5 linked regions of the Cricetulus griseus genome follow. The protein of the gene in region 1 interacts with the protein of each later gene in a biochemical or structural test. Links are inferred from orthologs where the notes say so. Each region holds a gene or a part of one and is shown in the gene's direction. Other genes may lie near its edges. The genes, in order: Dlg3, Cysltr2, Frmpd4, Net1 and Gda.

Region 1 (4,662 bases):
GGTGACCCACTGGAAAATGCTACTCACATTCAGGGTCAGTATATTTGCTCTAGAAATGCCCTCAGAGATATGCTCAGATGTGTATCTTCTAGGTGACTCTAATTTTAGCCCAAATGACAACCATGGCCAATCATCATGACCATATGATTAACTATCTTTTGTGGTTATGTTTGTCTGCATTCCCTCAGTAGGATGTAAGCTCCTCAAGGACAGGGACTTGCTCTGTTTGTTTTATATTGCCTGGTCTTACTGTTGTGTCACCAAATTCTAGAACAGTGTTTGGCATGACCATCTGAGTCTCTATTCACAGCACTCTTACACGAGGTTGGTGATGCATGAATGCTTGCTGAATTAAACTAGGACCTAAAATCTATAGGAAAACTTAGAGCATATCAGTTATATAGATGATCTAGAGCATGGGTTTGAATCAAATGGCAAGGACTTATATCTTTCATCTATGTTACCTAGCTGTGTTAACATTGCTTAACTTCCAGCTTTTATTGGTAGAATTAAGGTAACTTTAGTACTGCCTTGATAGGGCTTTTTGTTTGTACTTCAGACTTGGTAATGATTCAGTCATTGTCAGCTAAAAATAAAACAAGGACGGCAACAAAAAGTTAGGCCAGGTGACACCTGTAATGCCACCAATCAGGTACTTGAGGTAGGATGATCACTGTCTCAGAAAGAATTCTGTCTTATCAGCATCATTTTCCCATCTTCCTACAGGGGAATCGAGGAGACCTCCTTCAACAGGTATTCTTATGTGCTTTCCAGACCCACAGAGCTGGCTTTTGTACTTCCAAGCTTTTCTTAGCACTTCCTTCTAATCTGGACACCCTTTCCTCTTAATAGTCCAAGCCTCCCTTCCCTAACACAACCATGGAGTGGAGGCAGAAGTGTCTGAGGCAGGAATAAGTAGTTTTCTGATTGCCAGTTCTGGGGTTAAGTTTCACACTGGTGATGTAAGAAGGTCGACTGTGAGATAGCCATTACAGGGCCTAGAGGATGAGAGAACAATGGTCTTGATAGGATACTTAACAGATCTGGACTCTGCCCTCTTCCTTAGTCCCCTGCAGGAGGCAGCACTTCTCGCACCCTGCCCAGATGCCCCTCAGGTCTGCTCTGTTGCTGTCTTTACTTCTGGTGGCCCTAGCTTAGAGCAAGCTTAGGGACCCATTGAGCATCTCACTGCAACTCCCTCTTGAAAGAGGGGCGGGGTGGAGTGGGCAGAAGACAGACTGAAATTGGCGACAAGGGGACAGGGGATCGTGCTCCGCAGCTCTCCAGTGGCTCAATCCCAGCCACCTAGGCTAGGGTAGCTAGTCCCTCAGAGAATGGGGGAGCTGTGGTTGAGCCCGGGGGGCACCTTTGCTTCTGTTCCTTTAAGGAGCCGCTGTTTAGCATTCCTGCTGCTGCCGCTGCCGCTGCCCGACTCTGTGCGCTGATTGGCTGGAATCAATTGAGAAGGGAGCCAGGGAGAGATGCTCTTGACTCCACTCAGATCCATCCTGGGGACCTGAGCAGAAGAGGTTCTCGCCGCACCTAGCCTTTTCCTAGGCTCCCTCTTCTTCTTTGCCGCTGGGCCTTGGCCCAGGAGCCACAACGGGCGACACGGAGCCGCCAGTGCTGGAGGGGGAGCCGTGGGTGCGGGGCAGCGTGGGGGCAGAGGCCCCGGGACGCCCGCCCGGCCCCAGGCCCCGCTCCGCCCGGGCGCCCCCACGGGTGCCCCCCCCTTCCTGGTCTGAGCAGTGCGAGTGTGCTCGGGAGCCCAGCAGTGGCGGTGGCGTGGAAACTGGCGTGGGTTGGGGGGTCCGAGCCGCGGGGGGCAGTGCCATGCACAAGCACCAGCACTGCTGTAAGTGCCCCGAGTGCTATGAGGTGACCCGCCTGGCCGCCCTGCGGCGTCTTGAGCCTCCTGGCTATGGGGACTGGCAGGTGCCAGACCCCTATGGGCCAAGTGGGGGCAATGGGGCTAGCTCCAGTTATGGAGGCTACAGCTCACAGACCCTGCCTTCACAGGCAGGGGCTACCCCAACCCCTCGCACCAAGGCCAAGCTCATTCCCACAGGCCGAGATGTAGGGCCAGTGCCCCCTAAGCCAGTCCCCGGCAAGAGCACCCCTAAACTCAACGGCAGTGGCCCCAGCTGGTGGCCTGAGTGCACCTGTACCAACCGAGATTGGTATGAGCAGGTAAGGACCATTGAATGGGCGGGTGACGGGGTGGGGGCTGGTGGGACAGCCCAAAAGGACTAGGGATTGGGGTCTAGGAAGTCTGGGGAACAGTAGGGGTTGCTGGGGCTCCAAGTCTGTGGCCCCTGAGCCGTAATACTGTCATTGACTAAAGAGATACTGTTGCAAATATATGTGCTTCTGTGTGTGTTTAGGGGGGTCTCCATTTGAAGGGGATTGGGAGGAGCTGTTTGTATCAGGGGTGATGGTATGGCGGAGGGGCACATTTTCTAGTGTGGGGGATTTGGGTTTGTCTCAGTGCGGCGAGGGGGGAGGTTGGCAGTGTCTCTGTGTCTGGCAGGGGGCGGGAGGTTCTGCGGGGGTTGTATGTGGTGTGTGTCTCCACAGGAGGGGAGGAGGGGGCATGGTGTTCTGCGTGGGGGGGACATATGTGTTTGTATGTATATTGGGGTGTGTGGAGGAAAGCAATGGAGCTTGTGTGAATGTATGTAGCGGAACCCATGTTCAGGGCTGGCTGAGCTTCATCTCTCCGTCCCAGTCCCTTTGTGTGAGAACGTGCACATGGATGTGTGAGGATGGCTCTCTGAATGTGGAGGTGTCTCTGTAGATGAAGCTGCAGGAGTAGCTGTGTTTGCCTGTGTGTGTCTCCATGTATATGTGTGTGAGCATGTGGTTTCAAGAGTGTACACGTGTGTGTGCCCGCGCACGCGTGTGTGTGTGTGTGTGTGTGTGTGTGTGTGTGTGTGTGTGTGTGTGTCCCTGGTGAGATGCGCTTGACAGGAAAAAGAGGGGAGGGGGAGCAGGCAAGACACGTCCCAAGCAAGGCTGAGAAGGACAGACTCTTTTGTCCAAGCTGCTCTGAAGTGTATGCTGTGGGGGTGGGGGGGAGTGGGGGGTGTTCAACAAGCCTTCTTGCTCCAAAGCAGGCATATTGTCTGGAACCAAGCAAAGGGCAACTGCCCTAATGTAGGGTCTGCCCCGAGTTGGGCATGGTCCTTGTAGGTACCCACAGATGTGGGAGAACTTAGCTCCCCAGCTCTGATTTGGCACAGCTTGGAGCCCCTGGGTGCTGGGCACAACTCCGGCTTCCACTCCCAGCCTGAACTGCCAGCTTAGAAAATGGAAGGAGCATCTGTGGGAGAAGCAGCAAAATGGAGGCTGGGCCGGCAGAGCCAGGTCTCTGGCATGCATGGCGGAGGGCCTGTCTAGTTCTTCAATTCTGCAGCCCCCAGGGTGAAGAAAGAGGAAGCTTTGCTGTCGATGGCAGGTGCTGACTGCCCCAAACTGGTGGCCATTCTGACCATCCCTGTCCTCCTCTGAGGATAGGATGTGTTTTCACCTAGAAGCAAAAGAGGGGGCTTCTTGGAGAGAGGAATCCTATGTACTGTCATTCTCTCTGCCTACACCTTTTCCTGTGTCCCTAGCCTTGGTTCCTTGCCCTCTCTAGTGAGTCCCCCTCTCCTTTGCCCCTCCCTTACAAACACACGCTCATGTTTGGCCTGCCCAGTGGAAAATAGTTGCCAATTCCAGGGCTGGGCCCGTTGGGTACCGTTTCTTTACCCAGGATGATCTTTGGATTGCTCCTGACCCTATGGGCAAGGTCTCTGAGTGGGAGTGGGACCAGGACTAGAGGGTGGACTACTGGGAGCTGAGACCTCCAGGTACCACCCAAACTGGGCTTGAGGCATGGCTTGTCACATGTGGGCACACATGGTGCACCAGGAGCATGAAAGAGCTGCATGGGTTTTCTTTTCCTCTGTATCTATTGCATTGTACTTCAGTGAGCTGTGTTGGTTTTGGGGAGGGAAGTCTCTGAAGAACCAGAGGTTTTTCCTCGTGGGACCAGGGTGAGGCTTCAGCTGGAATCCTACCACTGACTCCTTAAGACTACAGAACATGAAGGAGGAAATAAGGGAGGCATGGCTAGTCAGCACTCTTGAAGCCAGTAGTGCAAAGGATGAAAGTGAGAAGTGGGAAACAGAGCAGAGTATGTTGACGAACCCCCACCCTGGCTTTCCAGCTGTTCTTCTCTGGGGCCAAAACTTAAGAAAGGTACAACATGGCCATAGAAATTTGGATCAGTTCTGGGACACGTGTGGAGAGAGACAAGGGGGCTCCTTCAGTCTTGAAAATGAATGTGGGAATGAAGAAGCAGGTGTACTTGTCTGTGCAGAATCAGATTTCCACTCGCAACATGGCCACAAATATGTCCTGTCAGGAAGGCCACATCTATGTGTTGCTGAAAACAATCTGTGTTTTTGAACCGTTTTCTTGCCTGTCTTCCCATGGCTACTGTATGTTAAAGGTCACAAATTGTGCTTCTAATGTCTATGGGTCATCAGGTTCTCCTTCATGGGGAATTTTGTCTACTCCAGTCCTGTCCTACCCCTTGTTTGTCCTCAGACTCCTGGCCAATTCCCACCCCGACCCTTTCTTCTGGGACACACAAAGGGTTTAAGTCAAAAGTCCCTT
Region 2 (4,533 bases), on another chromosome or scaffold:
GTATAGCTATAAGGATATTTATGTAGGAGAATCCTACTTACTCAGCCTAGCCAGCCAGCAGGGAGAAAGGTAAGCAGAAGAAGGGGCTCCCCACGTGCCTGTCCCTCACTTTTAAACCTTCCTCACATCACCCTGACCATGCCCAAGTGGGTGTGGCCAGGCACACCTGTAACCAGCCCCAAGCAGGCTTTGCCACACAGTTTTTCAGTTTCATGAGGTCCCCTTTATTAATTGTTGATTGTAGTGTCTGTGCTGCCAATGTTCTGTTCACAGAGTTTTTTCCTGTACTGTTGAGCTCAAGACTATTCCTTACTTTCTCTTCTATCAGGCTCAGTATATGTGAATTTTGTGCAGGGTGATAAAAGTGTGGACCCTGTTTGGATCTGTAGCCATCCAGTTTGACCGGCACCATTCATTAAAGATGTTGTCTTTTCCCCCATTATATTTATGACTTCTTCATCCAAAATAAGGTATCCATAAGTGTGTGGATTTATGTCTGCATCTTCAGTTTGATTCCATTAATCAACATGTATACTTTTATGCCAATACCATATTGTTTATTTTACTATAGCTCTGTAGTACAGTTTGAGGAGGTTGAGAATAATGACACCTGCAGTAGTTGTTTTATTATTCAGGATTGTTTTAGCTATTCTGGTGTGTGTGTGTGTGTGTGTGTGTGTGTGTGTGTGTGTGTGTGTGTGTTTCCATATAAAGCAAAAATTGCCCTATCAAGATTTTTGAATTGTGTTGAAATTTTGATTATGATTGCACTGAATCTGCAGATTGGTTTTGGCAAGATGGATATTTTTACTGTATTAATCCTACTGATTGGTGAGAATGGGAGATCTTCCCATCTTCAATTTTTTTCTTCAGTGTTTTAAAGCTCTTATCACACAAGTCTTCCACTTGTCTGGTTAGAGTTATGCCAAGATATTTTATATTATTTGAGATGATTGTGAAAGGTGTTGTTTCCCTGATTTCTTTCTCAGTCCATCTGTCACTTGTATATAGGAAGGCAGGGTCCCAGGGATTGCTGGCTCAAGTTGGAGGTTGAGCTAACAGGAGTAGTGTGTGTGTGTGTGTGTGTGTGTGTGTGTGTGTGTGTGTGTGTGTGTGTGTGTGTGTGTGTAGGTAGGTAGGAGGAGAAGAACTGCATGATGGGAATGAAGAAGCCAGAGAGGCTGAATCAGGAGGTGAAATACAGAACGGGGGATGAAACTGGGAATTTCTCATTCAAGCAGTCCAGGAGGCAAAGGAGAATCAGGCTGAAAGTTGGGAAAAAAGCCAGGTGGATTGAGAAATATGGTGACAGAGTTTCCACAGTTAACTGTTCAAGCAAGAGTAACACATTACAGGAGCAATGAGACCAGTGGCGGCCTTCACAGAGACTTTTTAGCAGAGTGAGTAAGGCCTTTGCCAGAGTGCACGGGAAAGCCAGAGGGTAGTGAAAGTGCTTTATCTAAAGCTGTCGGCAGGGCTGAGTGTGAAAAGCGGAGTTGATGGGCTTGTCATGGAAACAGAAACCCTTTCGGAAATAAAAGCCACTTAACTCCCCCCCTCCCCCCCCCCCCCCCGCCCATCACATCTGATTAAAAGAAAAAAGAAAGAAAGGAAGGAAGGAAGGAAGGAAGGAAGGAAGGAAGGAAGGAAGAAAGGTAAGAAGAAAAGAAAAGAAATCCCAACAACAAAAACATCAAGAGTCATTAGAGGACGATAATTCCAGGGTGACTTGGTACGATGGTCACTAGCTGGAAATTCTCTGCCTTCCAAAGAAGGAAGCCAGCATTCATTCCCACGATCCTGCCACCAAGCTGAGGACCTGCTGACCCAAGTTCCTTCTTTTCTTGCTATTGGCTAACACTGTTCATAAAACAGAGTTGGCCGTTTCACTCTTGCTTTAAATGAACAAGCTGCATCGTATGGGGAGACAGCCAGGAGAGAGGGCAGAGTCGGAAGGCAGGGCAAGCGGGAGGAGGCCGGGCGCAGAAGGAAGCACACAGGTGGGTTGTACCGTTTGTTCATTTGTCACTCAGAATTGTGCTTTGATGGCTCCTACAGGAATGACGTGTGGAATGTAAGCTTAATTTGTTCAACTATCAGTTCTACCACATATGTTTTTTTGTTTTTGTTTTTGGCTTGTGCATATGATTTTAGCTTCCTTTCATAGCTGCATCTGTAAAATACAAACACGTTTATGTTCACTCCTTCCAGTAAACCTTGTGCCTTATCCATGCTGCCATGAATTCTGCAGAGCCACAATTGCGATTGCTATATAAGGCATTGATATTTTCCCTCCTTTGGTCATTTTATCCCATAAGGCTTTTTTTTTTTTCTACTCAAAAGTCTTGCTTTTGGAAGAGGATTGTATTTGAGAAGGTAGATTTCAGTGGTTTTGTTCAGAGGTGCAGTGAACATGAACACGTGTGCTGGAATCGGTTTGTTTTGGAGCACCCATCTTGGTTTTTCAGCTGGGGCTGCACCTCAGTCAGAATTGCCTGCATCTCAGCAGATTAGAGAACAATGCCTCAAACAGCTTAAACCTGGTTTCCTGGTATTAACCAGTCTTTAATGGGTTTTGTTTGCTATTACTTCTCAGTTGTTATTAATAAATGGTCTGTTCTTAAAGAAATGGTTGTTTGAAAAACCTTCTTGTCGATACCACATACCTGAGAGTAATAATGGTGGGGAAATGAGATGCAATTAAAGGCAAGTCTCTCTTTTACTATGTAAGTAATCTAACTTAGAGAGCTAATTTGTGGGGCATATAAGAACTTTAGAAATTTCCGTTGTCTACTTCAACTCCTGAGATTAGAACCTATTTGAAAGCTTCAATTAATTAATGTTTGAAGGAAGTAGATTTGTTTCTATGGCTTGGGAAGGTAGTTGTGGGAGAAGTTGAGGATTTAGAAGGCTCTAAATATGTTAACATTAAGCCCGGTGGGCACTAGTACCTGCCAAGGTAGCCCAACTTCCTTTCTTTGTATAACTTTTCAAAGTCAGTCAAGAGATGGACATTTAATATCTGGCCATTTACAAGCACACCGAAGATACAGCAGGTGGCCAAGACTGATCTAATGGTTCACCCTGCTTTCCAAAAGAAATTATTTTCATTGGACCCCAATGTCCCCCTAAGAATAAAACAGACTGACTTCATATCAAAAGACTGGACAGATAACGGCACCTAAATCAGGCTGAAGCAGTTCTGCCTGTGCTATGAGCTTCCCACAGGCATATACTTGACCTTAATTTGATCAATAGCGTGTCAAACAAATATCTTCTTGTTTTCATCCCATGGAGGAGAGTGTCTGTTTAGCATCTTTGATAAGCACAAGCATTTATGTAGCACTTTACCATATAGAAACATGTTTTCATATGTCTGTTCATTTGACCTGTGGAACAATCTTTATCTATAGAGAGGGTATTTCTCATTTTTGAGATGGCAGAAATGAAGCCCTGGGATTGTAGGATATTTCCCAAGTTAGAACCAAACTGATGAGTCTAGAATATATGGCTACATCCATACAACCCCAATAATAACTATTTTATGAAATTGATTAAATGAATTTTGTTACATCTGTATATTATTATATAGTTAAATGATGGCATTGGCACTATATCACTTAGAAAAAAAAGAGATGACCATGTCTCAGTGGCAAGAAAAAGCAGGATACAAAATAGCATTATAACATGCTCTCTCTCTTTTTTTCAAAATCCTTATCTGTATTTAGAAAAAGAGAAAAAGAAGTGTATGTACAGAATTTTAGACTTGTCTAACTGATAAAACTTGTCATTTCCACAACTCAGCTTAATATCTTTTTGCCACCTTAATTTAATATAGCAATGCAACAAAAACAAAAGTAAACTAAACAGAATTGAATAGAATTGACTGTGTCTGTCTGGTTCACACTCCCGATAAAGTGGCCCCAACTCTTTTTTCCAATTGACTAGAAAGAAGCCTTGTATTCGGTTCTGAGTTTTGCCTATGATTGTTACATGTTGTGTTGTAGTTGTGGCTAATGTGGACAACACACTTGGTATGTCAGGCACAGAGCTGATTGGGCTGCTCTCATCCTCTTCGTTTACTCTCACTCCCTCAGCAGATGAAGGTTTTAAAGTTTAGAGGGGTGAAATGACAGAAAAGCAGAGTTGAGACTTGAAAAATTGAGACTCTATCTACCTGGCACCTGAGAGGACCTCCTCCCTCCACAGGATGGGACTCATTACTCTGGGTCAGCATCAGCTCAGGAATTGTTAATACCCATTACCTTGTGTATTCCAGACCCCAGGATCTGGCCTGCTTTTCTTGTTTGTCCTGAACAGAAGGCATTAAAGACATGCTGGTCCCCAAGAGCAAGCTTATAGAGGAAAAGACTCATAAGGGATAATGCAGCTACCCAGAACTTTGGCTAATGTATCAGCTTGCCTAGGATGCAGGAAGCCTGGGGTTTGATCCCCAGTGCCACATACACTGGGCTTTGGTGGTACATGCTGGTCATCTCACACTGTGGGGGAGGGGCAATCAGGGGTACTAGG
Region 3 (3,923 bases), about 33 Mb from region 1:
GAAAAACATCAAACAAATCTTCACAAGTTCTCATGATGGAAGCAAATGCTGAAATGAGCCCAAATGTTATATATGGCTAGAAATAGCTGAAAGGAGGTCCTGTAAGGGATCTATCTTGTGCATTATACATACATATATACATATATACATACAAATAGGTAAGAATACTGACATTTGTACATGAATATGTTATACCCACTAAGGTACAAGTAGGCTGAAAATAGAGGCATTGCATTTAATTTCCTAATAAATGTGAGAAAAGTGTGAAGATCCTTAACTTTCTCATAACTCAAGGAAGAGGAAATCAGTTATCATCTTTCATGAATAGAGAATGTTAGATCTCACTTCACAAAGTAAATGGAGTATTTTATGGGGAAAACTCTCCATTAGAATATCACCTGTAAAGGTTGTAAAGTCATGTTACATATTTCTGCTCATGGAGATCATTGAGGCCTATTAATAGAAACAATTGTCAGAGGGAGTTAAGATATTATCCTCTCCTCCAAGATGCTATAACATGTTATCAAACAGCAACTCTGTTTTATGCAGTATCAATTTGGTTAAATGCAAGTCTCCTAACCAAGGAATCTAACACCTGGAGCCTACATCAGCTAGTGTCCTATTTGGAATGTTGGGTGACTATGCTGACACAGTGATAGTACAAGCCATCAAATTAAGAAACACAGATAAAGCTGAGGAGATGACTGAGTGAATAAGATGCTTGTTGTGCAAACATGAAAGCCTGAGTTTGGATCCTTAGTAATCATATGAAAAATCCATGTCTGGTGGTGTGCATCTATAACTCAACAATGGAAGGCAGAGACAAGTGCATCTTAGTGGCTCACTGGTGAGCCAGTCTTAGTCAACAAGCTCTAGGTTCAGTGGGAGACCCTGACTGAAAAATATAAGATGAAGAATGGTAGAGATTGATATCAGGAATTTGTTTGGCTTCTATGTGCATGCTTGTAGCTGAGCATATCCATATACACATATGTGTATATACTGCATACAACAGGAAGAGAGAGAGAGAGAGAGAGAGAGAGAGAGAGAGAGAGAGAACCTTACAATTCCTGAAACCAGACAACATAGTAACCTATCTACCTGATTCTTTCTCCTTAGGAACAGAAAATAAAGGCAAGCATAATATCCTTGGCTCTGATTGGAACTGTATGCCCCAGATGACCACCTTCATCGGCGAAGGGGAACAAGAAGCCCAAATCACATATATAGATTCTAAGCAGAAGACAGTTGAGATGACAGACAGCACCTTATGTCCCAAAGAGCACCGGCATTTATACATTGACAACACATACAGTTCAGATGAACTTAGCCAACCGCTGACTCAGCCAGGTGATGCCCCCTGTGAAACCAACTACAGAAGCCTAGCTCAGCGGTCCCTGATGACCCTCTCAGGACCAGACACTCTGAAGAAAGCACAGGAATCCCCAAGAGGAGCTAAAGTGTCCTTTATTTTTGGAGATCTTGCCTTGGATGATGGCATGAGTACCCCAACTGTAGGCTATGAAAGACTTTTAGATGAGAATCCAGAAATGTTGGAGAAACAGAGGAATCTCTACATCAGCAGTGCCAATGACATGAAAAACCTGGATCTCACTCCGGACACAGACAGTATCCAGTTTGTGGCAAATTCTGTATATGCAAACATAGGTGATGTGAAGAACTTTGAGGCCCCTGAGGGGATAGAGGAGCCCCTCTTACATGACATCTGTTATGCAGAAAATACTGACGATGCAGAAGATGAAGATGAGGTGAGCTGCGAGGAGGACCTCGTGGTGGGTGAGATGAATCAGCCAGCCATCCTTGACTTGTCAGAGTCAAGCGATGACATCATTGACCTCACAACCCTGCCTCCTCCAGAAGGAGATGACAATGAAGATGACTTCCTCTTGCGTTCTTTGAACATGGCCATCGCTGCTCCCCCACCTGGCTTTAGAGATAGTTCTGATGAGGAGGACACTCAGAGCCAGGCAACATCCTTCCATGAGGACAAGGAACAAGGCAGCAGCCTGCAGAATGAGGAGATCCCTGTGTCCCTCATTGATGCTGTGCCCACCAGCGCAGAGGGCAAGTGTGAGAAGGAACTGGACCCTTCTGTGGTTTCCACACTGGAAGCCCTAGAAGCTCTTTCAGAAGAACAACAGAAGAGTGACAATTCAGGTTCTTTCACCATTGTTACATTTATTCACTGATAACCATTGTCATCTCATCCTTTTGAGCCATTTGTCCTTGTAGTCCTGTTATGTGGTGTTTTCCATTTCATATATGTCCCATTTCATAAATATGTTGATCTATCATCATGGGGGATTTGTGCTAGGTGGTTTTCTTTGTTGCTAGTTTAAAAAGAAATCATGGCACCCCTCCCCCTCCCTGAAATAACTGTGCAATAAAATCAGAGTCCTTACTGAAAAGGGAAAAATCTTGTTTATTTTTATTTTGTGATTTTTGCCATTGTTGTTGTTTGTTTCCATCTTTGTAATAATACTACTGAGTCACATTTTCTTGCATGTCTCTGTGTGCCTCTGTTGCAGCCATTAACCACTTCTTGTTTTTTATGGCATGCAGGTGTAGCCATCTTGCGGGCTTATAGTCCTGAGTCTTCATCAGACTCTGGCAATGAGACTAACTCTTCTGAAATGACAGAGGGTTCTGAGCTAGCCGCAGCACAGAAGCAGTCGGAAAGCCTCTCGCGCATGTTCTTGGCCACTCATGAAGGCTATCACCCTCTGACAGAAGAGCAGACCGAGTTCCCCACCTCCAAAGCCCCCTCAGGGGTCTTGCCTCCAAAGTCGTCCCATGGTCTGGCTGCTCGCCCAGCAACTGACCTCCCACCCAAAGTTGTGCCTTCCAAGCAGATCCTTCACTCAGACCACATGGAAATGGAGCCAGAAACCATGGAGACCAAGTCAGTCACTGACTATTTTAGCAAACTGCATATGGGGTCGGTGGCATATTCCTGTACCAGCAAAAGGAAAAGCAAACTTGCTGAGGGAGAGGGGAAAGCCCCCCTGAGTGGGACTGCACTAGGAAAAAAACAGCAAGGAACCAAAATGGCAGAGATGGAGGAGGACACCAAAGGCAAAGTTGGCACTGTGTCTTCAAGAGACAGTCCACACCTCAGCACTTTTAACCTGGAGAGAACTGCCTTTCGCAAGGACAGCCAAAGATGGTATGTGGCCTCTGATGGTGGGGTGGGAGAGAAAAGTGGTGTGGAAGCACCAGCCATGAGAGCCTTTCCCAGAGGTCCAGGTCTGGGGAACAGGGAGGCTGAAGGGAAGGAGGATGTCGCTGTTGAAGGAGAGGCCGATAATGGTTCAGGACTTGACCAAGGGGACCGCTTCCTAACAGACATGGCCTGTGTAGCCTCAGCCAAAGACTTAGAAAACCCTGAAGATGCTGACTCTCCTACTTGTGACCATGCCACTAAGCTTCCTGAGGCTGAAGACAGTGTAGCCCGCCTTTGTGACTACCATTTGGCCAAGCGGATGTCATCCCTGCAGAGTGAGGGCCATTTTTCTCTACAGAGCTCTCAAGGCTCTTCAGTGGACACAGGCTGTGGCCCAGGCAGCAGCAGCAGTACCTGTGCCACTCCTGTGGAGTCGCCCCTCTGCCCCTCCATGGGGAAGCACCTGATTCCGGATGCTTCTGGGAAAGGCGGGAGTTATATTTCACCAGACGACAGAGTCAGTGGTCATCCCAACCATGGAACCACCTTCAAGGAATTGCACCCACAGACAGAAGGGATGTGTCCGCGCATGACAGTGCCTGCTCTGCACACAGCCATTAATGCCGACCCCCTGTTTGGCACTTTGAGAGATGGATGCCACCGACTGCCCAAGATTAAGGAAACCACAGGTACAGCAATGATGGATTTAGTGTTTTATTTTATGTGCCAGGAGCACGGG
Region 4 (2,994 bases), on another chromosome or scaffold:
GTGGTGGTCATCAGATTCAACCAGTCTAGTGGGTAAATAAATGATGGAAAAAATGCAAACTTACTTGGAAATTTTCAGACCAAGTCTCTTTTTAAAAGTTGTTCAAAACATTAAGTAAATATTAATTACATCATTTTCATTTCTGACTTCTGGTGTTTCTGGATGTTTTTAGGCAATATATGAATTGTCCCGAGGTGAGCAGGACTTAATTGAGGATCTCAAGCTTGCTAGAAAGGTCAGTGTCACTTTACATATGCCAGTCCTTAAAATGACATTTCACAGCTTCTCGGGGATGGTGTCTTAACCTTTGAAGTGGAAAATAAAAGTGTTTTTCTATTGAACACACCTTTGCCTCAAGATTGAAAGACAGCTTTTCAAATGTGACCACTAGTAAACTTTTAGGGGTGAATGTAACTGTAGCGCCCCTCCAGAATCTCTGTCCTTGCTGTGTAGTTACTAGGGTGCACTCAAGGACAGGTTGTGCAAGGGTTTCCTTTGCTCAGTCTTTGTGTGATATATTTCTTCCCCTCTGATAGGCCTACCATGACCCCATGTTAAAGTTGTCCATCATGTCAGAAGAGGAACTCACACATATATTTGGCGACTTGGACGCTTACATACCCCTGCATGAAGGTCAGCTTTGCTCTTAATATCCGTTCATTCCTGAATAAAACCAACACAAGTAATTTTAAGTTAATAAGAATGTGGTACTCACCAGGTCTTTTTAAATAATTGTATTGTTGCTCTTTTTTGCTCTTGTACACTTCAGATTTGTTGGCAAGAATAGGCGAAGCAACCAAGCCTGATGGGACAGTGGAACAGATCGGTCACATTCTCGTGAACTGGGTACGTAAGCAAGTCGTCATATGTAACAGGCAGTGCTGCAGCCTGTGATGTCACTCATAGCAGTTTGGTCACACCACTAAATTCTAAAAACATTGACACATTAAAAGTTATGATGGTAAGCACTTAAAATCCTGTAAAAAATACCGAGCTTGACTATGTTACAGACCTTCTTACAGCTAACATCCCTGATTGAGCAGGATTCCTATAATGCTATAATGCTGCTTATCCTCTTTTGCAGTCTCTCCATACATACTTGAGTGTCTACTGTGTGCCAGGCTCTGTTAAAGGAGAACTCCTGGGGACTCAGTAATGAAGGCTGTTTATGACTTCACAGGAGAGAGCAGGCCCACAGAGTATCAGGATTGTGAGGAGTATGATAGAATCAACTTGGGTGTCTGGGAACAAATAGCTAACATCATAGTGAGACTTGGAAATAGAAGTCATGAGTCTTCAGTTGGGCCAGGAAAATGTCCACAGCCTGCTAAACACACTTGTAGCTATACTGACTTTTGTGGTCTGTGCTCATCACTTGTTAATGCACCCAGTCATAACAGGATTGTGCCGTGTGTCGTCTTTACTCTCTAGTTACCACGCCTGAATGCCTACAAGGGCTACTGTAGTAACCAGCTGGCAGCCAAGGCTCTTCTGGATCAGAAGAAACAAGACCCAAGAGTCCAAGACTTCCTTCAGCGCTGTCTGGAGTCTCCCTTCAGTCGAAAACTAGATCTTTGGAGTTTCCTAGATATCCCTCGTAGTCGCCTCGTCAAATACCCTTTACTGTTAAAAGAAATCCTTAGACACACTCAAAAAGACCACCCTGATGTCCAGCTGCTGGAGGAAGCAGTAAGTCTCAGAAACATTAGAAAAGCATAGAATGCTCGGACCTGATGTCATCCAGAGACTGGGTTTAATCTGGTTCCTTCCTCTGTCTGGTGGCCTTGGCCCAGTCACCTAGTGTGGCTGGGACTGATTGCTCCCATGTATAATGAAGAGAGTGGCTGGATTGACTTCTAGAGTCCCTTCAGGCTTCAGATTCTGCCTTTGTGTGAATGTTTGCTCTGGAGGAAGCTTGATAATACAGCCGATGCTCCATCTGCTTTTGTTTTCTTTTATCATTTTTAGGTATTGATAATTCAAGGAGTTCTTTCTGATATAAACTTGAAGAAAGGTGAATCCGAGTGTCAGTATTACATCGACAAGCTGGAGTACCTGGACGAGAAGCAGAAGGACCCCAGGATCGAAGCGAGCAAGGTGCTCCTGTGCCATGGGGAGCTGAAGAATAAAAGTGGCCATGTGAGTGTATTCGAATATGAACCACAAGGAAGCCATTGCTTTCCTTTTCCCAGTCTGCTTAGTTTTCTACACATAAATTATGAGGCAGGTTTGTAAAAGTGCTTTGGTAAAGCAAGCACTTGATTTCTGTAGTTGCAGAATAAGAGGACTAAACGCCTCTGCCAGTCATCCTCATGTCCAGTTGTGAACAGCTGGTGCCTAATCTGGTAGTGTGGCCCAATGAAAGAAAAGAGCTTAGATAGCCTGAGCTTGAATGCTCCAAGCAAAACCTGCATAGCCTTGAGACCATTATTTTATGATGCCATTTATAAAGAGAAATCAGAATCTAAATGTCAAATCCAGTTCTTTAACAATTAAGTTACTTATTTAGGAAGTTTGGGATTTTTTTTTCTTCATTTCTGCAGAAACTGTATATTTTCCTGTTTCAAGACATCTTGGTTTTGACTCGGCCTGTCACACGAAATGAGCGTCACTCCTACCAGGTTTACCGGCAACCAATCCCAGTGCAGGAGCTGGTGCTGGAAGACCTACAGGATGGGGATGTGCGCATGGGTGGTTCCTTCCGAGGGGCTTTTGGCAACTCAGACAAAGGTAAGATATAAATTCTAGAATAGTTACACAAAGGAGCCAGAGTAGATGGGGAAAAAAGGGTTGAAGCAGAATTGCCACACATTTGAAGCCAACCGGGGCTACAAAGTAAGACACACACATACCCATCTCAAAAACAACACCAAAGAGAAGAAACAAGTGTACTTAAATGAAATTAGAGTTGACCCTTAAGAATTTTAAGAATAAAACCATTCCCCAGTCATGGATTGCCACAAAAGGGAGTTGATAGGGACCTCTGGCTAGTGA
Region 5 (3,923 bases), on another chromosome or scaffold:
ATCTTCCTTTATCATTAAGTTGTTGCAATTTAGCAATAAAATGCTTTTAAAATCTCACAGCTGGGTTAAAATTAGGAGCCCCCCTCCCCCACTCAAGCTTAATTACACACTGCACTAAAATTTCCCCTCTTTCAGAGCTGATGGTCTTAAAGGGAAGGGAAAGTTGGGGTAAAGGCAGCATATTGATTCCTTACTTTTATTTATTTATTTATTTTTAAAATGTATGTTCATAGGACCTATTAGCGTGTCTTCCTCGTGATTATTGTTTGTGGCTTCTGATATTTGGAATTTGGATTCAGTCCCCCACAATTATGCTCTGGTAATAAAATTCCAAATTTGGATAATATTTCCACTTTGGAAACAGTATGTTTTATTCTAAAAGAAGAAGAAGAAGAAGAAGAAGAAGAAGAAGAAGAAGAAGAAGAAGAAGAAGAAGAAGAAGAAGAAGAAGAAGAAGAAAAGAGAGAGAAAGAAAGATGCAGACAACATAAAAAACCTACATGAAAATAAATTGAATAAGACATGAAGAAGTCTCTCCTTCGTCTGGGGATGCAGTGCAGTTGACAAAGTGCTTGCCTGGCATGCACAAAACCCTGAGGCTGATCCCAGGCATAGCCTGGGTACTGGGGACACAGCAGTCAGAAGGAAGAATCAGAAGTGCAAGGTTATCCCTTGTTAGCAATCTAGTTCACAGACATTTTGGCAAACAGGAGACCAGCTCTGATTAGAGGGATGGAAGATAGGCATTTAATTTTACTATCCAATCAATCACCAGGTTGTTCTTCCTCTTGGGCTACATCCATGCATCTCACTGATAGACTGGGATTTACTCCCCGACCATGGGTAGAGTCCGATGTAGGTGCAGCACTGGTTGGGATCATTACTCACTTTTTCTTTTGTTCATCTTTCTATGTTTCTTCTTAGCACAGAAAAAGAGGCCTGGCAGAATTGGTTAGCTAGTGTTTGTTGACTCATGAATTGTTCCCATTATCTACTTTCATCACCCCTGAAATGTTTTTTTCTAGAGGCTTGGGTGGCTACTCCAGTGCAAGGTACTTTTTGTCCCCTCAGATTTCAGGTGCCCCCATGAAAGGTTGGTGTGGCTGTCTACTCACTTGGTTTGTGTGTGGATTCCCATGAGTGCCTGGTGAAGGCTCTGTCATTTTCATATTCTTTTCTGCAAAAGCATCATTCAGAAAGCCGAGAAAAGAGGCAGACTGAGGACAGATCCTGAGCCCAGCCTTCCATCTGCTTCCAGTATACTAGGTTCTGTAAAATTTCACACCTGAAATATGACTAACACATCTGCATAAGAGATGGAAAATGACTTACCTAAGCCAACACTTTTATTGGCTGATGAGAAATGGAAGCTTAGGAAGAGAACTGGCTTGCTCTATTAGGCTCTCTGTTCAAATTTTAGTTTTTTTTTTTTTTTTTTTCCTGAGTGAACCATAGATTCATCTTCCAATGGCCATTGAATTCTTATAGGATGCTGCAAGCAAGGCACTGGGCACTCTTTAAAAGAGGGCATAGGTTGTTCCTGCTATAGATAAAGGTCTTGAGGGAAAGACCCCCCCCACACACACACACACATACACACACAGAGCCATGCTCAGGATATCCAGTTTCTTTGTCATGTGTATTATCATAGAGGATGCATTATAATTACTGAAAATTAAACCTGAGCAAGTAGAGACTTCAATGTTTTCCTCCAAGTCGCCTACATCAGCAAGTTCAGCAAGTAGAAACTAGCAGCAGCATATTGAGATAGGAGATAGAATGTCAAATATTTTACAGAAAAAGTGAAACCATTCTTTCTTTGTTTGCAGAGCCATGTAAGTGAAAATCGTGAAGAAGTTGAAGCTGTGAAAAGCTTATTCCCTGATTACAAAAACTACACAGATGTCTATGATAAAAATAATCTCCTGACAAACAAGGTAAGCTCAGTATCATGATATAATCTATATAAAGCAGGCTGCATCCTTTAAGTTTCAAAATCTCAGAAGTAATCACAGTTCTTCAGGACACATGCACTTTTCAAACTAGAATAAACCCAGTGTGTGTGTGTGTGTGTGTGTGTGTGTGTGTGTGTGTATGTGTAGATATATGTGTGTGTCTATGTGTGTGTGTGTGTGTGTTTGCATGCATATGTGTATAGATATATGTGTGTATATCTACATGTGTGTGTGCTTGTGTGCATGTGTATGTAGATATGTGTGTGTCAATATGTGTGTGCCATGATATGTGTGTATCCATCTATCTGTGTGTGTGTGTGTGTGTGTGTGTGTGTGTGTGTGTGTGTGTGTGTGTGTTAATATGGGCCTGATGTTTCATCCTCCGCTTCATTCTTAAACTCCTAACAACTTTTTCCATTGCTAATTGGTGAGAGAGTGAGTGCGTATTTTTTTCCAATGATGCTTTCATAGTTAGTAGGTCAGTGGGCTTTTCTTCGAGCCGGCAGATCCATTTCCAAGGATAATTCTTTAAAGAGTGTACAAATAGATGCATTGATAACACAGGAAAGTTTGAAAATAACTATCCCCAAGGAATTGGTTAAATCATAGAATTTACATTATTAGAATTCTATCCAGCATTCACAGAGCAAAATGTGCATGCTTCCACAGAAGAATGCTCAAAACAGTTGGATATGCATGTACATATGTCTTGGTGTGTTTTTACACATAAAAAACGTTCAGAGATATACAGTGAATGTTAAAAGTAAGATTTTAAACTCTGAGGTTTAGAAAAATGCATATGTATTACTTCTATAATTAATTAAAATTATTGTGAGTAGCAAGAGACCTCATTAAAGCAGTATACCCTTTGGCCTTGGCCTTCCATGAAATGAACACACTGCTTTGAGAGTTTACTGCAACAAGCAATTTCTTAGTGACTACACAAAAGGAGATATGAATGTAAGTGATTTGAAAGGTTAGTACTTTGCATAAATAATGTAAATTTACATGGGAAGCTTTATCTTCCTTTACATATATTACCATATGATTAATAAATTAACCTTAAATTTTCGTGTTAATTATATTTGCATGGAGGTTGAAAAAGTTCTATTTTAATAATAGTTTTTGCCTATTGAATTATGCCTCCCAAAGGAGAAAGCAACTGGGTATCAGTTTTATATTAAAGTAAAAAGAAACTTTTTAGAGAATTAAATGTTCCTTGAAAACCCACAAATCTTACCAACATGAGAATTTAGAGAGGTTTCAAATGTGTGGCACCTGCTTTCATAAATAAAGTTTGCCTCCTTATGGAAAAGTTATTATGATATGACATATCCTGATTTTATGTCCATGTCAAGATCCATTGGTGACTATAATGAAACTAGTAACAGAAATAAAGGACAATTCTCTCAGATGTGGTGGCTTATGCCAAAAAAAAAAAAAATACCAGCATTCCAGAGGCTGAGGCAGGAAAATTATGAGTGTGAGATCAGTTTGGGCTGAGTTCAAGGCCAGCTTTAGCTATATAGATAGATATCATTTCTAAAACAAACCATCCGTAACAATTAACCCATAGTTCTTTACAAAATCATATTTGCACCTTCTACGTTCTCTTAGAAAGTCCTGATTGGAATGCAGACAAGTATCAGCCTACTGGAAGTGCATCATACAGATTTAGAAAAGAGGATATTTGAAAATTTTCTGTAGTAGAGATGATAAAATCGTAATAAGGTATTCAGTCTGGTTGGATTTCCTATGCTGCGGATGAGCTGGCTGACCCTGTACTGAATTGCAAATCAGCCAAAATAATCAAAATCAAGAGCCAGGGCTAGGATGGAGTTCAGTGGTAGAATACTGGGCTTGATTACCAACACTACTAAGATAGATAAACAGACAGACAGATAAAACATACAAATTTGTTGAGAATTTTGTGATGTACATTTGGATACAGGAATTTTGTCCTTTCAA

The links.
Region 2: the proteins of Dlg3 (region 1) and Cysltr2 interact in a test that uses a peptide from one of them, tested with the Homo sapiens proteins (2 studies listed by IntAct, with this or other methods). The link is inferred for Cricetulus griseus from reciprocal best matches to the Homo sapiens genes DLG3 and CYSLTR2.
Region 3: the proteins of Dlg3 (region 1) and Frmpd4 interact in a test that uses a peptide from one of them, tested with the Homo sapiens proteins (2 studies listed by IntAct, with this or other methods). The link is inferred for Cricetulus griseus from reciprocal best matches to the Homo sapiens genes DLG3 and FRMPD4.
Region 4: the proteins of Dlg3 (region 1) and Net1 interact in a test that uses a peptide from one of them, tested with the Homo sapiens proteins (2 studies listed by IntAct, with this or other methods). The link is inferred for Cricetulus griseus from reciprocal best matches to the Homo sapiens genes DLG3 and NET1.
Region 5: the proteins of Dlg3 (region 1) and Gda form a complex in vitro, tested with the Homo sapiens proteins (2 studies listed by BioGRID and IntAct, with this or other methods). The link is inferred for Cricetulus griseus from reciprocal best matches to the Homo sapiens genes DLG3 and GDA.

The regions. Positions count from the first base shown.
Region 1 is NC_048604.1:69,515,960-69,520,621, reverse strand, and holds the start of Dlg3 (disks large homolog 3), read left to right. Parts: upstream 1-1,833; coding exon 1,834-2,190; intron 2,191-4,662. Other genes in the region: uncharacterized protein LOC113837508, read right to left, coding at 1,367-1,507. UniProt on the Homo sapiens protein: Required for learning most likely through its role in synaptic plasticity following NMDA receptor signaling.
Region 2 is NW_023276807.1:227,541,686-227,546,218, reverse strand, and holds the start of Cysltr2 (cysteinyl leukotriene receptor 2), read left to right. Parts: upstream 1-1,631; 5' UTR 1,632-2,000; intron 2,001-4,533. UniProt on the Homo sapiens protein: Receptor for cysteinyl leukotrienes. The response is mediated via a G-protein that activates a phosphatidylinositol-calcium second messenger system.
Region 3 is NC_048604.1:102,223,375-102,227,297, reverse strand, and holds part of Frmpd4 (FERM and PDZ domain-containing protein 4), read left to right. Parts: intron 1-1,119; coding exon 1,120-2,178; intron 2,179-2,583; coding exon 2,584-3,873; intron 3,874-3,923. UniProt on the Homo sapiens protein: Positive regulator of dendritic spine morphogenesis and density. Required for the maintenance of excitatory synaptic transmission. Binds phosphatidylinositol 4,5-bisphosphate.
Region 4 is NC_048596.1:228,912,985-228,915,978, reverse strand, and holds part of Net1 (neuroepithelial cell-transforming gene 1 protein), read left to right. Parts: intron 1-172; coding exon 173-235; intron 236-536; coding exon 537-633; intron 634-769; coding exon 770-846; intron 847-1,431; coding exon 1,432-1,689; intron 1,690-1,968; coding exon 1,969-2,139; intron 2,140-2,543; coding exon 2,544-2,730; intron 2,731-2,994. UniProt on the Homo sapiens protein: Acts as a guanine nucleotide exchange factor (GEF) for RhoA GTPase. May be involved in activation of the SAPK/JNK pathway Stimulates genotoxic stress-induced RHOB activity in breast cancer cells leading to their cell death.
Region 5 is NC_048596.1:39,826,510-39,830,432, forward strand, and holds part of Gda (guanine deaminase), read left to right. Parts: intron 1-1,829; coding exon 1,830-1,937; intron 1,938-3,923. UniProt on the Homo sapiens protein: Catalyzes the hydrolytic deamination of guanine, producing xanthine and ammonia.